Caenorhabditis elegans: one gene and its partners. The protein of the gene in region 4 purifies or fractionates together with the protein of the main gene of each other region. This does not show direct contact. Each region holds a gene or a part of one and is shown on either strand. Other genes may lie near its edges. The genes, in order: sld-5, psf-2, psf-3 and psf-1.

What was found.
Region 1: the proteins of psf-1 (region 4) and sld-5 purify together in Caenorhabditis elegans (affinity purification with mass spectrometry; 2 studies listed by BioGRID, with this or other methods). This does not show direct contact.
Region 2: the proteins of psf-1 (region 4) and psf-2 purify together in Caenorhabditis elegans (affinity purification with mass spectrometry; 2 studies listed by BioGRID, with this or other methods). This does not show direct contact.
Region 3: the proteins of psf-1 (region 4) and psf-3 purify together in Caenorhabditis elegans (affinity purification with western blotting; 2 studies listed by BioGRID, with this or other methods). This does not show direct contact.

What each region holds. Positions count from the first base shown.
Region 1 is NC_003283.11:20,233,539-20,239,696, forward strand, and holds sld-5 (DNA replication complex GINS protein SLD5), read right to left. Parts: upstream 4,208-6,158; 5' UTR 4,189-4,207; coding exon 3,902-4,188; intron 2,915-3,901; coding exon 2,754-2,914; intron 1,963-2,753; coding exon 1,736-1,962; 3' UTR 1,267-1,735; downstream 1-1,266. Other genes in the region: Y113G7B.15 (Pept_C1 domain-containing protein), read right to left, coding at 18-305.
Region 2 is NC_003279.8:15,050,657-15,054,852, forward strand, and holds psf-2 (putative DNA replication complex GINS protein PSF2), read left to right. Parts: upstream 1-2,353; 5' UTR 2,354-2,368; coding exon 2,369-2,782; intron 2,783-2,833; coding exon 2,834-2,962; 3' UTR 2,963-3,016; downstream 3,017-4,196. Other genes in the region: bltp-2 (FMP27/BLTP2/Hobbit GFWDK motif-containing RBG unit domain-containing protein), read right to left, coding at 1-23; zipt-1 (Zrt (ZRT), Irt- (IRT-) like Protein Transporter), read right to left, coding at 490-858, 958-1,289, 1,432-1,540, 1,618-1,764. UniProt on the Caenorhabditis elegans protein: Required for correct functioning of the GINS complex, a complex that plays an essential role in the initiation of DNA replication, and progression of DNA replication forks.
Region 3 is NC_003279.8:531,419-535,844, forward strand, and holds psf-3 (DNA replication complex GINS protein PSF3), read left to right. Parts: upstream 1-3,036; 5' UTR 3,037-3,039; coding exon 3,040-3,151; intron 3,152-3,199; coding exon 3,200-3,306; intron 3,307-3,353; coding exon 3,354-3,552; intron 3,553-3,612; coding exon 3,613-3,776; 3' UTR 3,777-3,926; downstream 3,927-4,426. Other genes in the region: Y65B4BL.1 (uncharacterized protein), read left to right, coding at 372-467; dbd-1 (DB domain-containing protein), read left to right, coding at 530-1,135, 1,201-1,434; icd-2 (Nascent polypeptide-associated complex subunit alpha), read left to right, coding at 4,390-4,426.
Region 4 is NC_003280.10:9,967,013-9,971,170, reverse strand, and holds psf-1 (putative DNA replication complex GINS protein PSF1), read right to left. Parts: upstream 2,499-4,158; 5' UTR 2,491-2,498; coding exon 2,392-2,490; intron 2,346-2,391; coding exon 2,281-2,345; intron 2,213-2,280; coding exon 2,137-2,212; intron 2,086-2,136; coding exon 1,996-2,085; intron 1,951-1,995; coding exon 1,741-1,950; intron 1,661-1,740; coding exon 1,595-1,660; 3' UTR 1,541-1,594; downstream 1-1,540. Other genes in the region: R53.5 (Peroxiredoxin-like 2A), read left to right, coding at 686-871, 917-1,048, 1,093-1,312, 1,357-1,478; R53.4 (Putative ATP synthase subunit f, mitochondrial), read left to right, coding at 3,124-3,239, 3,304-3,547, 3,594-3,695; dtmk-1 (Thymidylate kinase), read left to right, coding at 4,090-4,132.

The DNA of each region.
Region 1 (6,158 bases), on a different chromosome or scaffold from region 4:
TGAAAAAACTCCCCAACCTTTGAATTTCTGGCGCTCAACTCCTGTCGATTCTTATCAGCAAACTTATTCCACCCAAAAGTCACATTTCGTCCTTCTCTCCTTGCTTTCGCATTAAGTTCCTGGATTTTCTGATGATTTTTCGCGAAATGAGCCAACCGGCGGTCTTTCTCCGCCGGGGTACGGTAGTGTTTCTTATGGTGCATCGTGAAATTGTTAAAATGTGACAGTACCTCCTGAGAGTGTTGGGTTACTGTAGGTTGGCATAGAGAGAGTAGGAATAAGGGGGAAATTATGAAAAGTAACATTTTTCAGGTTTTTACGGGGTTTTCGCTGGTTTTTATAGGTGGAATCACGCCGATCAACATGTTCAAGGTAACAGGTAACATAAAATGATAAAATATGAAAAAAAATTGTTCTTGTTTCAGTGTTACTCTGAGCCCTGAAAGTTTAGTTCTCCAAAAAAAAAAAAATTTTTAATCTAAAAATTTAAAAAAAAATGTTTTTTTTTTTTTTTAATTCCCTCAAAACCCTTCGCAATTGTTCTAAACCAACTTAGCTATACTAATTCAAACATTAAAAAAATATTGACCCTAGCGGGGGTTCGAACCTATGACCCTCCGCACATAACCATACCTCTTCCCGCCTGAGCCACTTTGACCCAGTTTTCAAACTGCTCCAAAATTCGCGTAATTTAGTTGTTTTAGGCTCAGAATTTCACGATAATTCCAGAAATTTAACTAGTTTTGATCTACGTTCATGTTGAACAGAGTTATGAGTAAAAAACTTTAAATCGATCAATTTCTTGGCTCAAAATTCGAAAAAAAAAGTTGAAAAGTTAATATGGGTGTCAAAAAATGTCTAAATTTTCTGCAGAATTTGGAAATTTATGCTAAAATCGCTGAAAACTTCAAGAAATTGGCAAAAAACCAAAAGAAAACACATTTTATCGATTTTTTTCAAAAAATTCCCTTAAACCCTTCCTCCCCTTCGCAATTGCTCAAAACCAACTAGGCTATACTAATTCAAACATATAAAAAATATTGACCCTAGCGGGGGTTCGAACCTGTTACCCTCCGAACCATAGCCTTCTCTCTTCCCGCCTGAGCCACTTGACCAAGTTTTCAAACTGCTCCAAAATTCGCGTAATTTAGGTGTTTTAAGCCTGAAATTTTACGAAAGTTCCAAAAATTTCACCAGTTTTGCGCTATGGTCATGCTGAACAATGTTATGAGCAGAAAAACTTTAAATTATTCACTTTTTGGCTCAAAAATCGAAAATTTATATCAAACCAAATTTTTTTGTCTATTTTCAGGAAAAAACATGGAGTAAGCTTCGTTTTTATGTTTAAAAAAGCTAAAATAAATGAAAATTTAAGAGAAAAAAACCCGATTTTTGAAGTGAAAATCCAGTTTTTTGGGGGAACATAAAAATGGAATAATGAGGTTTTTGAGCAAAATTTGATAATTTTAAAGTGAAAAATTGAGATTCAAAGAGGAGAAAACAGGCGAAAAATCACCGCAAAATTTCAGTGAAAATGCTCATTTTTTGACAGAAAATTGGCAAAAAGTGACAAATTAAAGTAGACATATGTAAAAAAAAAAAAAGGGGGTTTCAGGGGTAAAAAATGATGAAAAATTCGGGAAAATTACAAAAAAATGGATTAAATTTACGATTTTAGGGGTAAAAATGATGAAAATTCCAAAAAAATCCGAAAAAATTATCAAAAAATTCTTCTTCACATCAGTTGAATATTTCCATCTTCAACCAATTGATGTACCGATTCGAACGGAATCAAATGACACGATTCCGGTTCCATTTCCAAAATCACTTCTCCATTCAAATCCTGCCAATCCGGAATCGCAACGTTGCCCACGTCATCTGACGTCACTTTTGCGTAAACCATGACGTCATCATGATCGCCACGTGGAACTGGCATCTTTTTAAGCGCTGCTGGCATGAATTCTGAAGAAAATTGAGAGTTTTTGGGAAATTTTTTTTTTTTTGAAATTTTGAAAAAAAAAGTTTTTTTTTGGGAATTTTGAAATTTTTTTTTTTTGAAATTTTGAAAAAAAAATTGTAAAAATTGCCACGTGGCATTAAGCGAAATTTTGCAGTTTTTGAGAGAAAAAAAAACTGCAAAAAAAATCGAAATTTTCCAGATTTTCTGAGCTTTTACGCAAATTTTTCTGAATTTTTGAGGTAATTTTCTAAAATTTTAGCGAAAATTTTAAATTTAATTTTTTTTTAACTTAAAAATGAAACTTTTGAAATGCAAAAAATAAGATTTTTATTGATTTTCCACAAAAAAAACAAATTGCAAAATTTTAATTTTTCCAAGGAAATTTTTTTTTTGAAAATTCCAAAAAAAATCGATTTTTTTGAAATTAATTTTAAAATTTGAAAATTTCTTAAAATTTGTGAATTTTTATGGTCAATTTTACCAAAAAAATTGTTTTTTTTTGAAAATTCAAAAAAAAAAATTTTTTTTAGGTCAAAATAAATAAAAATTCAAAAAAAATTCAAATTTTGAGAGAAAAATTTGAAGTTTCGAAAGGAAAACTTTCAAAATTCAAAAAATCAAAAAAAAAATTTTTTGACATTTTTTTTTTCAAAATTGTAACAAAAAAATACATGAATTTTCAAAAAAATTTTCAAATTAGAAAAAAATTAGGCTTCTAGTGAAAAATTGGCCAATTTTTACGATTTTTTCAATAAAAAATCGCAATTTTCAACCAAAAATCCATCCGCCGTACCCAGGACAGTTTTCTGAAAAAGGTTCGACTCCGCTAGAGCATATTCTTCGGCGAATTTCATCTCAGATTCCGATAGTAGATCACTTTTTCCCTCTTCTTTTCGTTTTTTGTGTTGATCGATTGCGTCGTGTGGATTTGATTCGATTTTTTGGAGGCGGCATCTGCAGAAAATTGTTCGAGAAAATTAGTGAGAATCTACGAAAATTTGGGAATTTTTTGGAAATTTTCGTGAAAAAATGGGCAAAATTCGATGAAAATTGAGGATTTTAGCGTGTTTTTGAATTTCAGGCACTACAAACTACAAGTTTTGGGCGCTGCTAATGAATTTTTGGTCCATTTTTTTCATTTTTCGCCCTTTTTTTCGGCAAAAAAGCGCCAAAACGTCGAAATTTGCGCTGCTTTTCAATTTTTTTTTCCATAAAAAATCGATTTTTGTACAAATTTTTAGACAATTTTTGCAAATTTTTCTGCAGAATATAGCTTTTTTTCGATTTTTGATTAATTTTCGGCTGAATTTCCAAGTTTTTCCGATTTTTTGATACTTTCTCAGCAAAATTTCGCATTTTTCGCCGATTTTTGATTAATTTTCAGTTAAAATTCGCATTTTTCGCCGATTTTTCACTATTTTTTCGTGAAAATTCGCATTTTTCGTGAATTTTCGGCTAATTGTCACTCTAAATGTGAAGTTTTCTCGATTTTTAACTAATTTTCAGTGAAAATTTGCAATATTTCATGATTTTCTCCATTTAGACGATTTTTAATCAATTTTCAGCGAAAAAATGCATTTTTCGTGATTTTTTATCAATTTTCTGCAAAAAATCGCATTTTTCGCCGATTTTTAATCAATTTTCAGTGAATTTTTGCATTTTTCGTGGTTTTCGACCATTTTTCCGTGAGAATTCGCGTTTTTCTCCGTTTTTTTAACTAATTTTCCGTGAAAATTCCCATTTTTCTCCGTTTTTTAATTAATTTTCAGTGAAAATTTCCAGTATTTCATGATTTTCTCCATTTTGGACGGTTTTTAAACTAATTTTCAGCGAAAATTCCCATTTTTCTCCGTTTTTTCACTATTTTTCGTGAAATTTCGTATTTTTCGTGGTTTTTCGCTACTTTTCTCCATTTTCGGGGCTCATTTTCCCGCCGCACACCTAACATAATCCGACGTAATAAACCCAATGCGTTGAAGCTCGACTCGATGAACTGAGATTCTCAGCTGCATTTTATCCGTTTGTTTTCCAATATTTTCCTCCATTCCCTGAATCTGATCAAGTAGGATTTCGACAAGTTCCATTTGAGTTGGGAGAAGGCACGGAGCACACAGCTCATTTTGCCACGTGGCTGTCATTTTTCGGAGCACTTCTTCCGGTGTAGTCATCTCATCGTATTCGTCGTCGTCAAAATCCAAAAAGGTTGTTGCAGAGTCGGTGACGGCCATTTTTTTTTTTGGAAATTCTGGGGAAATATATTTTTTTAATTTAAATTTTTTTTTAGTTGAAAAAATTTTTTTTGGGAAAAATAATATTTTTAGTGCCAAAATTGAAAAAAAAAATTTTTTTGGGAAAAATGTTTTTTTTTGAAGAAATTCATCATTTTTAGGTGAAAATTAATTTTTGAAAAAATTTTTTTATTATTTTTTTGGAAAAATAATTTTTTTTTGTGCTAAAATTGAAAAATTTTGATTTTTTTCAGGAAAATTCACATTTATATATATTTTTATTTAGTTTTTATGGGAAAAATAGTTTTTTAATGGAAATTTTTAATTTATTCGAAAAATTTGATTTCTCCTTGTTTTTTGGCAAAAAAAAATATTTTTTCAAATTTTTTTGGAATTTTTTTCTCAGTTTTTCTATCAAAATTTAGTATTTTTTGGGAAATGGAAACTCTGGAAATATATTTTTTGAACTTTAAATTTTTTTTGGAAAAATAATATTTTTAGTGCTAAAATTGAAAAAATTTGGTTTTTTTTGTGGAAAATTAATTATTTTTAAAGGAAAGTGAGAAATGTTAATTTTTTTCAGTAAAAATTGAATTTTTTTTTTCAATTTTTCAGACTAATATTGATTTTTGGGTGAAAAACGTTTTATCATAAAAATCGGGGTTTTTTCCTGTAAAAAAGGAAATTTTTTCGGAGTTTTAAATTTGGAAAATTAAATTTTTTTAAATTTTTGTATTTTATGGAAAAAATATTTTTTAGTGGAAATTTTATATTTATTCAAAAAATTTGATTTTTTTTTTGCAAAAAATGATTTTTTCCAATTTTTCAGATAAATATTGATTTTTCTAAAGAAAAAAACCAATTTTTTGAAATTTTTTTCCAGTTTTTCGATTAAAATTGAATTTAATTGGAAAATAGAGTTTTTTAGTTTTATATTTGAAAAAATATATAATTTTTAGGTGGAAAATTAATTTTTTTCAGGAAAATTCACATTTATATATATATATATATTTCAAGTTTTTATGAACCAAATAAGTTTTTTTTTCGTAAAAAAAATATTTTTAGTGGAAATTTCAAACTTATTCGAAAAATTTGATTTTTCCATTTTTTTTTGCAAAAAAAAAAAACGATTTTTTCCAAATTTTCAGAAAAATCAATTTTTTGGAATTTTTTCTCAGTTTTTCTATCAAAATTGAATAAATTTCGAAAAAATAATTTTTGCTGGAAAATTCATATTTTTATATATTTTTTTCGGACCAAAAATAAACTTTTTTGAAATTTTTTTTTCACTTTTAAATTTCAAATTTTAAAATTTTATATCCAAAAATATAATTTCTTTTAGTTTTTTACAGCAAAAAAAAAATCTGAAAATCCTCAAATCCCGATTTAAAAAAAATATATAAAAATCATTGGAAAAAACCGCAAAATTTCAACAAAAAAAAATGCAAAAATTCGTCGAAAAAGTGTGCGTTTTCATCATATAAATAGAAAAAAAGAAAGAGAGAGAGTAATATGTGTTGGTGGGGTGTTAAATAGCACAAGATACGAATAAATTAAAATTAAAATCGTTAAAAAAAACCATGAAAAAAAGGAGATACCAGCAGCGTGGAGTTCGGAGGGGTGTTACATATATATATATTTCAGAGAGAGAAAAAAAGATCATTTTGGTGGTTTTTTTACGGGGGAAACAGAATGGGGGTAAATATGTATATAAGGGGGTGGTAAAACATTTTAAAAAATGCGATCGGAGGAAATAGGATTAAAATTGGGAAAATTCAGTGAAAAATTTTGTAAAAAAAATTCGAGAAAAAATGGAAAATTTTGAGGACAAAATTTCCAAAAAATGCTCAAAAATTCGCAAAAAATCTGAAAAAATAGGGAATTTTTGAAAAAATCCAGAAAATTTTAGAAAATTCGGATAAATTTTGGGAAAAAATCAGCGAATTTTCTAAAAATTTTGAGAAAAAAAA
Region 2 (4,196 bases), on a different chromosome or scaffold from region 4:
AGAAGGGAGAGAAGGACTATCATAGTGCGTCCGGCTGCATCTGTCTGAAATATCAGTTACTTTGAGAAAATTTTAAAAGAAAAAGGCATCACAACAACGAGAGCGTCTAGTGCTTAAAATAAAATTTGGAAAAAACGGCTAAAAGTTAAAGATAATAGTTATTCAATTTTTGAAATTAGAAAAACATGAGCTCTGTGAGTCTTAGGATTGTGGGTTTGGTACAACAAATGGGAGCTTTAAAGCCGTCGGGAATGTCAAATATTAAGTAATGGAATTGGGAAAATGAATGAAATACACAGGTCTATGGCGAGCTGGAACCCGGGATGAGAAAGTACAAGAAAATGTGTGATAGCGAAAAGATGGGACACAGAATGTACACAAAAATCGAGTAAAATTGCACAGAATTAGGAAAAAAAAACTAAAGCAGAGAAAATGCTACAAAATGTCAAAAATTAATCGAATTCCTGGAGAAAAAGAAATACAAATGTCCTAAGAAGCTTCGGGGAAAATCAAGATAAAAGCGACAACGATTGCAAATCCCATATAAATGAAGAACATCTTGAGAATTCGATATTTTCCATTATGCAATTCATGTGGAATCACTTCAAAAGTAGTAATATACAAGAATGTTCCACAGGCAATTGCTTGTAGAATTGATGAGACAATTGCAGCAAATGATTGTTCTCCTCCACTGATAAATTTCATGATTCCAATTCCAGCTAGACCACCAATCAATACTTGAACACTAAAAAGGAATTGTGCAAGTGCAATCCATGGAGTTGTTAGATTTGCTTGAACTAGACGAACTCCAAGGCAGAAGCCCATTATGCATTTGTGAAGTATTAGCGCTCCGAAGATCTGCAAAATAAATTAAAAAAAAAAAACATTTTTTGTTTTAAATTCTAATTTTAATTTTAAAAATGAAGAAAATAGTAGTTTTAAGGTAGCCGGCAGAACCTGAAGCAACTGAGAAGCATCTGACGTGACAGCTAACGAGAGTCCCTCGAACAGAGCATGAACAGAGAGTGCCAATACTAGCATGGCAACTCCAATACTCGATTGGGCGGCAGCTTCGTCTCCTTCTTCTTGTGATTCACCATCTTCAGATCTTTGATGCTCATGATTATGACTATGAATATGGTATCCAACATGTCCGAATACATTTCGGTCTTTCGCCGCTTTGACAACCTGATCAATTGTGAGAACCAATAGAAATCCGACTGCTACAAATGCCAACGGAACTGGGAACTCCGTTGCAATCTTGGTCTTCTCGAAGGATTCTATTGAGTCTGCAAAATGTTTCAGGTTTTCTACTACATTTTAGCGAGTGTATTGCCAAAATGGGATTTTTGGCGAATATTCTTCAAAATTTGGACTAAAATAGCATTTCTCTGATGTTTTTTTTTTTTTGCAAAATTTTCCACTTCTCACCTGGAAGCAAATCAAGAAGGCAGGCGCCTAGAAAAACTCCACCACCGATGCACGAGATGAACGAGAGAATATGGCTCCGCGCCCATTCTCCTTTTAGAAACGTGGCTATCTGAAAGTTGACGAAATTTTCAAAATGAAATGTGATCACATCACATGCGAACATGACAAAAAAAAGTTTTGGCTCACCATTCCGGCTGCAAACGTGAGCGCGAACAGAACGATGAGCAATACGGCGCGGAGTGCATCCTTCGGTTCTGCCCGTTCTCCATGCTCTTCCCATACGTTTTTTAGAAATAACCGTGCAGTTAAACGAGAAACAATTCGTCCGAACATCTTAAATTTTGGAGTACTCAGCAATTTTCGTAGAAGGTAGCGAGAAAAAGAGAAAAATGGATGGAAAGTTAGAATTTTTGTGTGGTAATATTTTTGAAATATTTGTAAGAAGAATATTTAAATGTTTTTTGAAAAAAATAAATCAGTTTGCCGAGAGAAAATCAATAAATCGCGAGCCTTTTCGAGACATGAACGCTCGATTTGCTCAAACACTTCTCTGGCGCTCTCCACTCTCTCGCACGTGCAATTGTAGCGCGTTTGCTGATAGTTTTGTGAACTAAGAACGCGAGAATATCGGGCGTGGTCTTACTAATATTTTATAGAATGTTTGATTTTATCTGCCGAAATTTGTAACTATTAACGTTTTCTAATTGAAAAAATTCAAAATTTTTCAAGTATCCATTTTTATAGCGTTTTTTTTTGTGTATTTTTAAGATTTTATTTCACAAATCTGAGTTCTATGGAATACTTTCCCATCAGAAGTGTAAGGCCTCAATATCGGAGGGGTTTTAGAAATTTTTAAAATAAGTTATTCTTCTCAATTTATATTTTCTTTTCTTAATTTATATTTTCAATTGAAAAACTATTATTTTCAGATCAAAAAATGAATGCAGAACGTTGCGAGTTCATCGCCGGAAACTCGCTTATTGAAGTGATCCCCTCAATTTCCGATGACCGGCCGATTCACCTGATTTCCGGCGATATTGGTCCATTTGAGGCAGGCGTACCCTGTCGGATTCCAGTTTGGACAGCGATTTTGATGAAACGAAAACACAATTGCAAGGTGGTGGCTCCTCAATGGATGGATGTAGATGAGCTGAAGAAGATATTGACGTCAGAGACTGAAAGCCAAGGATTGGCGAAATTACCGGATCATTTCTTTGAAATCTCGCATATGCTTGTTCGAGATGCCCGTGAGGATATATTCGAAGTTGAAGCTGTCAAATCATTGGTTCAGGACATTTATGATCGGAGGGACGCAAAACTTCGAAGCTCAGCGATCGAATTCTTGAGACAGGTTGGCAAAAATTATTGAAAATATTTCTAATCCAATTCTTAACAATTCCAGAACCAAACCTGCCACGCTCAATTGGACAACGTTCAGCTGATTGAAGCATCGTCCGCTCGTGCCACTTTGGAGGCCTGTCGTCAGATGGGAGCTGTCGTCCGTAATAAACACGAATCAACACCTTTATAGTGTTTTATTCCTATATATACACTTATTTTTCACAATTAAAACAATTACAATTTCATTGCTGTCTCAAACAGAAAAAAAGTACCCGAATTTAAGACAAATCCTGACAAATTCTCGAAATGAATAACACAGAAAATTTGGAGATCTCAAGGGAAATGGTGTTGATAGATTATTTCTACTAGTTTGTCAGTGGTGCATGCGGTTGGCGTTTTCCTCGACGTGGCAATGACTTGTTGAACGTTCCATCAGATGGAAAAACTGCATATCCTTTTCGCTCACGAGGACTGAAGAAACTTGGAATTAAATTTTGAAAAGCGATGGCGTGGCGAACCTTTTTTTATCGGTGAACGCAGTTGGCGCCTTAATTCGACTTCTAAACGCTTGAGCTACTTCCTCTGGAGAATCCACGTGGGTTGTTGAAGCAACCTTCAGCGGTTTTTTCTTCCGCATCGAGGAGTTCAGCATAATCGGGACATATGAAGGCCGGGGAGCAGATTTTTCAAAAGCTGGAATAAAATTAAATTGTTTAGAAAAAAAAACACTTTGAATAAGCATTGATCTTGGATGTTGTCTTTTATAAAACGTGTGTACAGTGCATTTTTTGGTACTTATGAGTTTCGTTCCCCCCAAAATGATTTCCATATTTTCTAATTGAGACGTGAACTTTTTTTCATTCTCAGGCTTAGGGAAATGATTTTCTAAGCCAAAAAATGAAAACAGTATTAAAATAAACATTCACGTGTGGATTAAAATTAAAAAGGTAGTGTTAAATAATTTAAAATCATTTTGGGGGAACGAAACCCATAAGCACCCTTTTTTTTTCCACTTCTGCGACTCTAAAGGAGGGCGCATTTATTCGAAATGGTCCCGCCACGCGCTTCAAAAATCAAAGAATGATGCGTGCCGAGACCAATTCGGATAAACTCACCCTCCTTTAAAGTCGTGGAAGTGAAGAAACAATATACTGTAATGTTGATGCGACCTAGTGATGGCCTCTCGGCAGCAATCAACGAACATACATTTCACAATATCTGACACTTTACTTTGTGTCATTGTAGAAATCTCCTTTTGCCCCTCTGTCCCAGGAGCAGTCTCCTCGTCTTCCTCGGATTCATCTCTCGATTCTCTCCCGCTATCCACTGATTTCTGCTCACTGCGTGGCGACGACTCGGGCGTCGCTGAACTAGCGATATCCACTGGCCCCTCAACAGCTTCCACGTAATCTATCTCATTTTCG
Region 3 (4,426 bases), on a different chromosome or scaffold from region 4:
CCGCGTGATGAAGAGTACTTTTATCCGAATTAAATCATAGGCAACGAAAACAAGAATCAGGTTCTTGTGCTTTGCACACCATGTCGGAATATCCGTCTCAATCAAAACGAAAAAAGCCTAAGCTGGACCAAGTGTTAAATGCTTAAATGCCAAAAATGAACAATCTTTCAAATCACTTTCATCTTCCTGTAAATCAGAGAATCCTGAAGCGCTGGCGCGCACACTTACGAAAAGTGAAAGCCGATATATCAAGTTTATCACCTAGCGGGACTTCCATTGTCTCATTGTCTCTTGGCTATCCGCCCCACTTTCCCCCCGGATCATCCGCCCCCTTTAATCCAAGACTCTCGAACAGTTTCGCTTCATTCCAGGACCGATTCGCATTCGGCAACAACAGCTCGTCGTCCTCATCAGCAGGCTGCTTTTCATCGAACAATTCGTCAGGCGGACTTTTTTCCAGTAAATAAGTTAATATGTGAGTTTTTTTTGTGTACATTTTCTTCTTTTCAAGATCCATTAACATTTCAGAATGCGATCGGCAGCCGGTATTCTTATTCTAATCTCAATAATTATTCCCAGTGTATATAGTGAACCGAAGTTGCCCGATTGCGAGCAAATACCAAAAGTCTTGTGCTGTACCCAACGTGTCTTAGATAAATGTATGTCTGGTTGTATCGATTATGTCACTGAGAAATGCCCCCACAAATTGGAAAAATACGAGACGATCGATGAAGAGCCATCGACGAGAGCTCCAAAGAAGCAGGTGAAGCCAGCTAAGGCAACTAGCAACAGAGTTGTCGGAGCAGTTGAAGTAGACCATGAAGCCAAGGAGCAGTTCATCGACTCCAAGGATATCAGAAGAGCACCACGAGTCGGTGATGCCAAGCTTCTCAGCCAGGAGTACCCGATCACCGAGGTCACCGACGCCGATCTCTCCTCCGAGTGCGGAACCGAGAAGTCTCAGCCACCATTCTCACCATGCTTGTCCCGCAAGTCGGCCGACGACGTCTTCCTCTCCTGCTGTCGCCAACAGGTTCCATCCAACTGTCACAGCCTCTGCACCTACGAGCATCGTGAGCATGTCGCCGCTGAAACTCTGATCCAGGCGATCCAGCAAGAGCACTGCGATATGAAGGTAAGAATAGTTCAATCTTCCTATTGAGTTTTTTTTTTGAGTTTTTCCAAAATTCATTCTTTCAGTACTTCTCCAAACTGCTCTACTGTGCCAACCAAAACCGCGACAACCGCGCGTGCTGCTCCAACCTCGGCATGTCAAACGCGGAACTCGGCGTCGGCGATCGTTGCCTACGTATGTGCAACATCTCCCCGTCGGGAGACCGTGTAAGCTCTATGGAGAAGGAGGATCTCGTCTGCCTGTCCAACTGGAACGTCATCATGTACTGTGCCAGAGGTGGTCTTCGTACCATCAACTAGACCATCATCCCCGTTCTCTTCTCCCGTAATAAGCTGGCTCAGGTTGTTAATAATAATTCGCCGCTCGTCTTAATAATTTTCCATTTTCCAATCTCGTCCCCCCTTTTCAACACTACCACATTTCTCAGTGATATTCATCTGAACCGCCCGACATACATCAGTTCCTCATAGTACCTAACAGGGTTCAACAAACCCATCCACACACCGTCCCCCCACGTAACACCCCCCCCCCCCCCACTTAAGGACCAAGTCCTAGTTACTGAATGTGCAACATTATGGCCAGAATGCAATACTTGTCCCATCTGAATCCATGTTATTTGATAATCTATGACAGTATTATACAACCCTTTTTTTTCAAAACACAAGCCCCCTTGAAAACGAACTCATTGTATGTCAAACGGTATCCCTTATTACACGATTAATTGTGGAGTTTGAAGCGAATAAATCAATCAATTTCTCGTTGGGTCCCACAGCGAAATGACTATTACCGGTACAGAGAGTGTGGATAGTTAGAGAGTGACAGACATCCGGGACCCAATGGGGCGGGGCGCGCGGAAGAGACGATTTGTGTCGATTTACGAAATGATGACAACGAGGAAAATTTCGTAAATCGACACAAATCGTCTCTTCCGCGCGCCCCGCCCCATCGGGTCCCGGATGTCTGTCGCTCTCTAACTATCTACACTCTCTGTACCGGTAATACTATTGCAGTAATCGCAGGTTATTTCATAGCGATTTTTCATAGCTTCACGGATTTCTGGATTCCCTCATAAATTGAAATGGAAGAGTTTTTGCTGAACTAGGCCATTTTGGCTCTGTCATATCTGGGGTAGATTTACGGCGCGTTGCGGTTCGATTTTAGTTGTAAAACTAAATGTATTTGTCCGTGTGGAGTACACGACTTTCTCACGCGTGGTCCGGCAGGCGATTATCAATAGAGCGCGAAAAATTCAATGAGGAAGGCCAGAACTCCGTGCAGCTTTACTCGCGAATTCAGGTGTGTGTTTTAATTGTCTTTATTCAGTTTTCTGATAATGAATATACTTTTTTACAGAAAAACTGGAAAACTGATAAAAAAGTCCCCAGAAACTAGATATTGAAATTACAGTACACTTTAAAGGCGCACACATTTTCACAGTAAACAAAAAATTTGTCGTGCCGAGATATTTCATCCAGATTATCAGTTGTTAAAATTTGACAACACTCATTTTGAATATTTAATGAATTCGAATGGAAAATAGAAGAAAGCTGCCAAAAAGTGAAATTAAATTCTCAAAAACTTGATTTCCAGACTTTTTTGGCGATTTTCGACCAATTTCAGCAGAATTTTTAGCAGAATTTTACAAATTTTTTTATTTTAAAGCTTATTTTAATAATTTTTCTCTGAAATATATGAATATCTTTGCTTTCGATGGATCTTCCTCAAAAGTAGACACACATTTTTATTTTTCTACAAAACTGTGCAAAGTTACGTCGTGGTGTTTGCGTACCTCGGCGGGAATTTAAAGAGAAATGGCATTTTTCACTTTTCTCGCAGTTTTTCTGATTTTTTTTTCGTTTTTTCGTAGTTTCCTAATAAAAAATCGTTCCAATTGTTTCCAGGTAATGGCTGGATTTGAAATTCAAAGAGTCGAGTCCAAATTCTTCGACTTGGACGACATAATCGCCAAGTCAGACTCCACGTCTTGCACATTTGAGATTGGAGATTTGAATCCAGGTCTGAAATCGCATCGAAAACCTAAAAATTCTAGTGATTTTTGTTCAGATTTCTTCCAGGAAATGCTGGGAGTTTCGAAGCCAACTCAAAATGCAGACGGATACGGCGTTGATGCTCCATACTGGCTGCTGGAATCCGTTAGAAGTTCATTTTCCGTGAGAATTTAGTTAGATTTGCCCCGAATTTTAATTGAGAATTCCAGATTCAACTGCCAAAAGCTTATAGTGTGAACATGCAAAATGTGCTGAACGCTGACAGCAAGAAATTGAATCTCTCCGGCTTGCAGCAACACTTTTACGGCAACGGGATGCAGTTATGCCGTCTGATGAAGGGCGAAAATCCGGACGGCGCGCTGAGCCTCGCACGATGCCTTGTCTCCACACTTACACAGCGATTAGGAGGTATTAATTAATATAATAAAGCACTTATAAAATACAATTTCTGGTTTTTTTTTGTTGCAGAAATTGTGTCAACTGCAACCCATCTGCAAAGCAAAGGCGAGAAATTTGACAGCCTCGAGACAAAAGTGTTCCTGGAGGGTAAACGGTGCAAAGAAGACATTGATACTTGGCTGAGACAAGACAATAAGTGCTCGAGCAAGAAGCGTAAGAGACTTTCGTTATAAACTTCAAATTTCTTATGCTTGAATCTAATTTTATTTTTTTTAATTCGTCTGTAAATATAATTCAAACCCACCATTCTGTAATAATATTTTATTTTCTATTTTTTCACACTCATTTTTGTGTTTTATTGGTGTAATAAACCTGGTTTCATGACTTTTTTGCAAGGAATTTTGTTGAAAAGGCTGCTGCAAAAACTTTGCCAGCAAAAAATTTTGTGCAAGCACGCTCCATCGCACAGTTTGAACGTCGCGGGTCGAAGTTAGATGTGCAGGTCATATAGCAAAAAGAGAAACACCCCTTTTTTTCTCGAGAAGTTTCACCAATTTTGCGCGATTTTTCAACTATTTTTTTGCTTTTTTGGCTTAATTTTGGCTCAGATTTTCCTCAAAAACATGAAAATCCAATCTAGAATAAGTAGTAATGGGTATATTCTAAGATTGTGCAAAAGTTAGCTTGAATTTCCTCGATTAAAGCTTTCCTACCAAGAAAAATGTGTGGATATTTTGAATTTACAAGTTTTTCATCTTTTTTTTGTAATATTCTCTTTGAAACTCCTGTTTCTCTCAAATTTGTAAACTTTCATAAACGTTTTTTTCAGGGTTACCACATTAAACAATGACCGGAAGCACCGAAACTCGCCAGAAGGAAGTCA
Region 4 (4,158 bases):
ATTGATGTTTCCCCCGATTTTCAACTGTTCTTGAATTCTGAAGTTGTTCCTTCTTCAAATGAGTATTTAAAACAATGTGTTGTAGAGTGATTATTTTCAGAACAAAATGATATCTGAAGTTCATAGAAATTTTATATTTCAGATTAATTCAGATTAATTGAGATTTCTGGTGTTTTTTGAAGAAAAAAAAACTCGAACGCCTAGAGCTCATCGACCAAAAAGTGTTTATCAGCGTTTTTCTATGCGTTCTCTCAGAATTGCATACTATTTCCATAAGACACTACACTCTAACTTGTTTACCATTTTTCACATACACAACTTTTCCCAACAGAAATTCTTTTTATTCTTTTATTTTTAGACGATTTTTTACTGAGTTTCCACGAAAAAAAAGTTGTATCATAATTACTTCAAAACTTAACACTTCACTTTAAAGACGCATACAGTATTCTGAATAGGTCTCGCGACGAACTCACTAGTCAGCCAAATGTTAAGTTCAATTTCTTTTCATTTGAGAAAAAACTAAACACTGAAAAAAGGCCGTAATAGCGAATTTCACTAAATTACGAGTTTCTGAGCATTTCATTTTGCTGTGACGATTCAAAAATAATGTCTCTAATGTGCATTTTCAAAGTGGTCACCATTTTTTCGAATAACTCCAAGTTTCCAAAGCTTCTTCTTTCAGAAAATGGCATTTCTCGGTTATGGAGCTGCCGCTGCTCTCGGCGGAGCTCTCGTTTACGCGAATCTTCCCACTTATTTGACAATCGGAGCTGTTGCTCCAACCTTTGCTCATTTGGCGGCCGCAAAACTTGTCCCAATTCGTGGTGGACCGAAGGAAAAAGAAGTTGTGGAGAGAAATGAGCAGTTTACGGTAAACATTTTCACTCTAAAATTAAAATTATTTGAGAAGTTTCAGGCCGACTCGTTGTTCAAGAAAGGTCCGATCATGGTGATGGCTGTACGTCGTCCGGGATGTATGCTGTGCCGTCGTGAAGCTGCTGAATTGCACACACTGCTCCCGTTGCTCAAGGAAAAAGGAATCGAACTGGTAAGCGCTCCTTCAAAATAGAAAAATTAAAACTTTGCTTTCAGGCCGCCGTTGTGCACGAGACTCGTGGAGCAAATGAGTTCAAGTCTTGGTTCTCCGGCGGTGATGTCTATTTGGACACTGATCGCACTTTCTACGGTCCAAACGAACGCTGGCTGCCAGTTTGGATGGGATTTCTTCGTTTCGGAACTTACTCGAATGTTTACAAAGCAAAGAAAGCCAAGGTCGAGGGAAACATGGAAGGAGAGGGAAGACTTTTGGGAGGTACGAAAAATTATTAAAATTATTTTTTCATAATAATTGTTCAGGTGTTTATTTGATTGCTAACAACGACATCGTGTTCACTCATTTGGAGAAGGAGTGGGGAGATGCTGCCGATATCAAGGAAGTTCGTGCTGCCGTCGAGAAATTCTCGGAGAAGTCGAAATAATTTTTTAACTTATGTGTTTTCTTAATTAATTAAACGAGGCTACTTTTTTTGTAAAATAAACTGACAAGAAGCTATTTATACAGATCACAGGTTGAAAACAAAATACCGACAACAAGTCAATGAACAAGCTCGAGAACACCCTGACGTATCAGCATTTCGCAGTCTTGGCGTGGAAGGGAGTGCTGAAAAATGTTATACATTATTTAAAAAATTAAAAACGGGATTTCTCTTTTTTCAAATAAAGAAAAATTCGAAGACTTACCAAACTATCCTTGGACAGCTGAACTTGAGTTCCATCTGACGTTTCAAATTCTCCATAATCCTCGAGAGCTCTAACTTGTACAAAAAGTGACTTCGGTGGTGCAGAATGAAGCAGCAGATTAACACCACCTTCTCCAAGATTGCTTTGGAATCTTGCCAATGTGCTCGAATACTCATTGAAAAACTGAATTTCCGCATCGCAGAGGGCGTTCTGAAAAATAATGGTTGACAAATTTTAATCATGTGCACCGATTACCCTAACAGACGCGGGAAGAGCACCTCCATACTTCCATCTGAATGATCGAATCCTGTTTTTCCTCTCGTTCACATAGGCCATCATGCAACGCTGGAAAATTGAACCACTACAATATTTCAAAAATCGACCTTCTCGACTTACTCGAATATGGCACATTGCAGCTAAACGAGGTTGAAGAAGCGTAGAATCATGAGGGAGTCCTGCACGGATTTTTTCACTGAAAAATATGATTTTAAATCAAGAAGTCACGAACGAATCGGTACGCTTCCGAAATGTATCACTTACACGACGGCAGCATTCTTTTGAAACAACTCATCGATTTTCTGATAACATTGGCGTACAAGTTCTGTCTGAAAAGAACTCAAATTTAAAGCAGAAAATAGGATATAATTTTACGTTATAAGGCGGTAATACATCTGGATTTCTTTTCATCTCTAAAACAAGTTGTAGTGCTTTGTCGGCGACGCCTCCTCGATTCTGATCGCCGGAACTCATTTTTTGAACTGCAAAAATTAAAAGTTGATTTGAAAAATAAAATTTTAAAGGGAAATACTTGATTTTAAATATTAAATTCGAAAATAAAAAACATTAAATTTAAAGTCCTCGACTTTCCCACCATTTCGGCTCTTGTGAACTAGTTGTAGACTCGGCCACGGCCATGGGTCTCGCAGCGATTAGCCGAAATGTATCGCCGCCCGTTGAAAACTGCACACATTTTTCTTAAGCATTTTTTAAAAGTGGAATATTGACGATTTTTCATTATTTACTCAATTAATTTCTTCTAAAATCAAATATATCACTAAATTCTGAGTTAAATTCGTTTTAGGCGTTACTGAAACGTAATCCCATGGTCGATAATGATCAATGTTTACAAAAATACATGTTTATATTTAAAACAATATTTAGCACATAGTTAAGGATTATTGGAGCTGGAACGTTCTTTTTTAAATGTATATTCTTCCTGATATTCATGTGTATATTTGCTAAATTGAACAAAATGCCTGTTTTGGTTGTTTTTCTAATTAATTTCTTGTTTATTGATTATTTGGCTTAATCGTTACTCGATTCTCACTATTTAATTAAATATCTGGTTTATTTTTATTTTTTTAATTCTTCGAATTTTCAGTTATGGCCTGGTTCCGTCCTCCACCACCACACACTCAACTCAGACCATGGGTTCCGGACGCGATCTTTATCCCGATCTCTCGCGCCGTTGAGCGTGTCGGAGTGTTCTTCTACAACCGGTTTGTCATTGTCTGAAAACGACGAATAAAATTCTTTTCCAAAAATAACCGATATAATTTTTAGCGTGTTGAACAAGACCGAGGTTGGATTGTTCGACAAGAGATGGAACAAGAACGTTCACGGACCATACTGCCACTGGAGATACTACGGAAAGCTTGATACCAAGTTCATGGATGTGAAGCTAGGAGATCTTCCAGCCTGGATGGCTCGTCGTGAGAAGACCCCATCTGCCTTCTACAACGAGTTCATGCGCAATATCTGGAGAGTCCACAACCTCTATTACTCAGGACCAGTCTACAATAACACTGTTCGTTTAAATTTAAAAAAAAAATACTAATTTTTTTTATTTTTAGGTCAAGGTAATCTTCCGCTTCATCTTCGCCTACTCGTTCCTCAATTGGCTCGTCAAGTCTCACCGTTACGTCGATTTCCAGAAGACGATGTACCATTGGTAGACACCATCCGATTTCGTCTACTCTTCAAAGCTCCACATACAAACTCTGTCGCTGGGGGAGGACGAAACAGCCATCCGATTTTTTCGTATTCTTTTTTCCCCCAATTCATCTCATTCTCGAGACGTCTTCTGTTAATTTAGTCCCCTATCGATTTTGTCCGTTTGTGTCTTTTTTCTATGAGAGAATAAATAGTGTATGGATCGGTTGAATAGAAATATTAAGAAGAAGGTTAGATAGCCGATGCGATTTTCTGGATTTTTTCGCTGTCGGCTTTATCTTTAGATTTGAATCTGTAGATCTAAAGTTCCGATTCTATAGAAGCGCGTCTTCATGTTTCTATTTTATTTTATATTTCTCCATGCTGTCTTATTTCCAGAGCCTCATCTCTTCACCTATGGCTACTGATCAGAAACGAGGGCTCCTGATTGTATTCGAAGGTATTTGATTTAGCTTAATTTTAAAG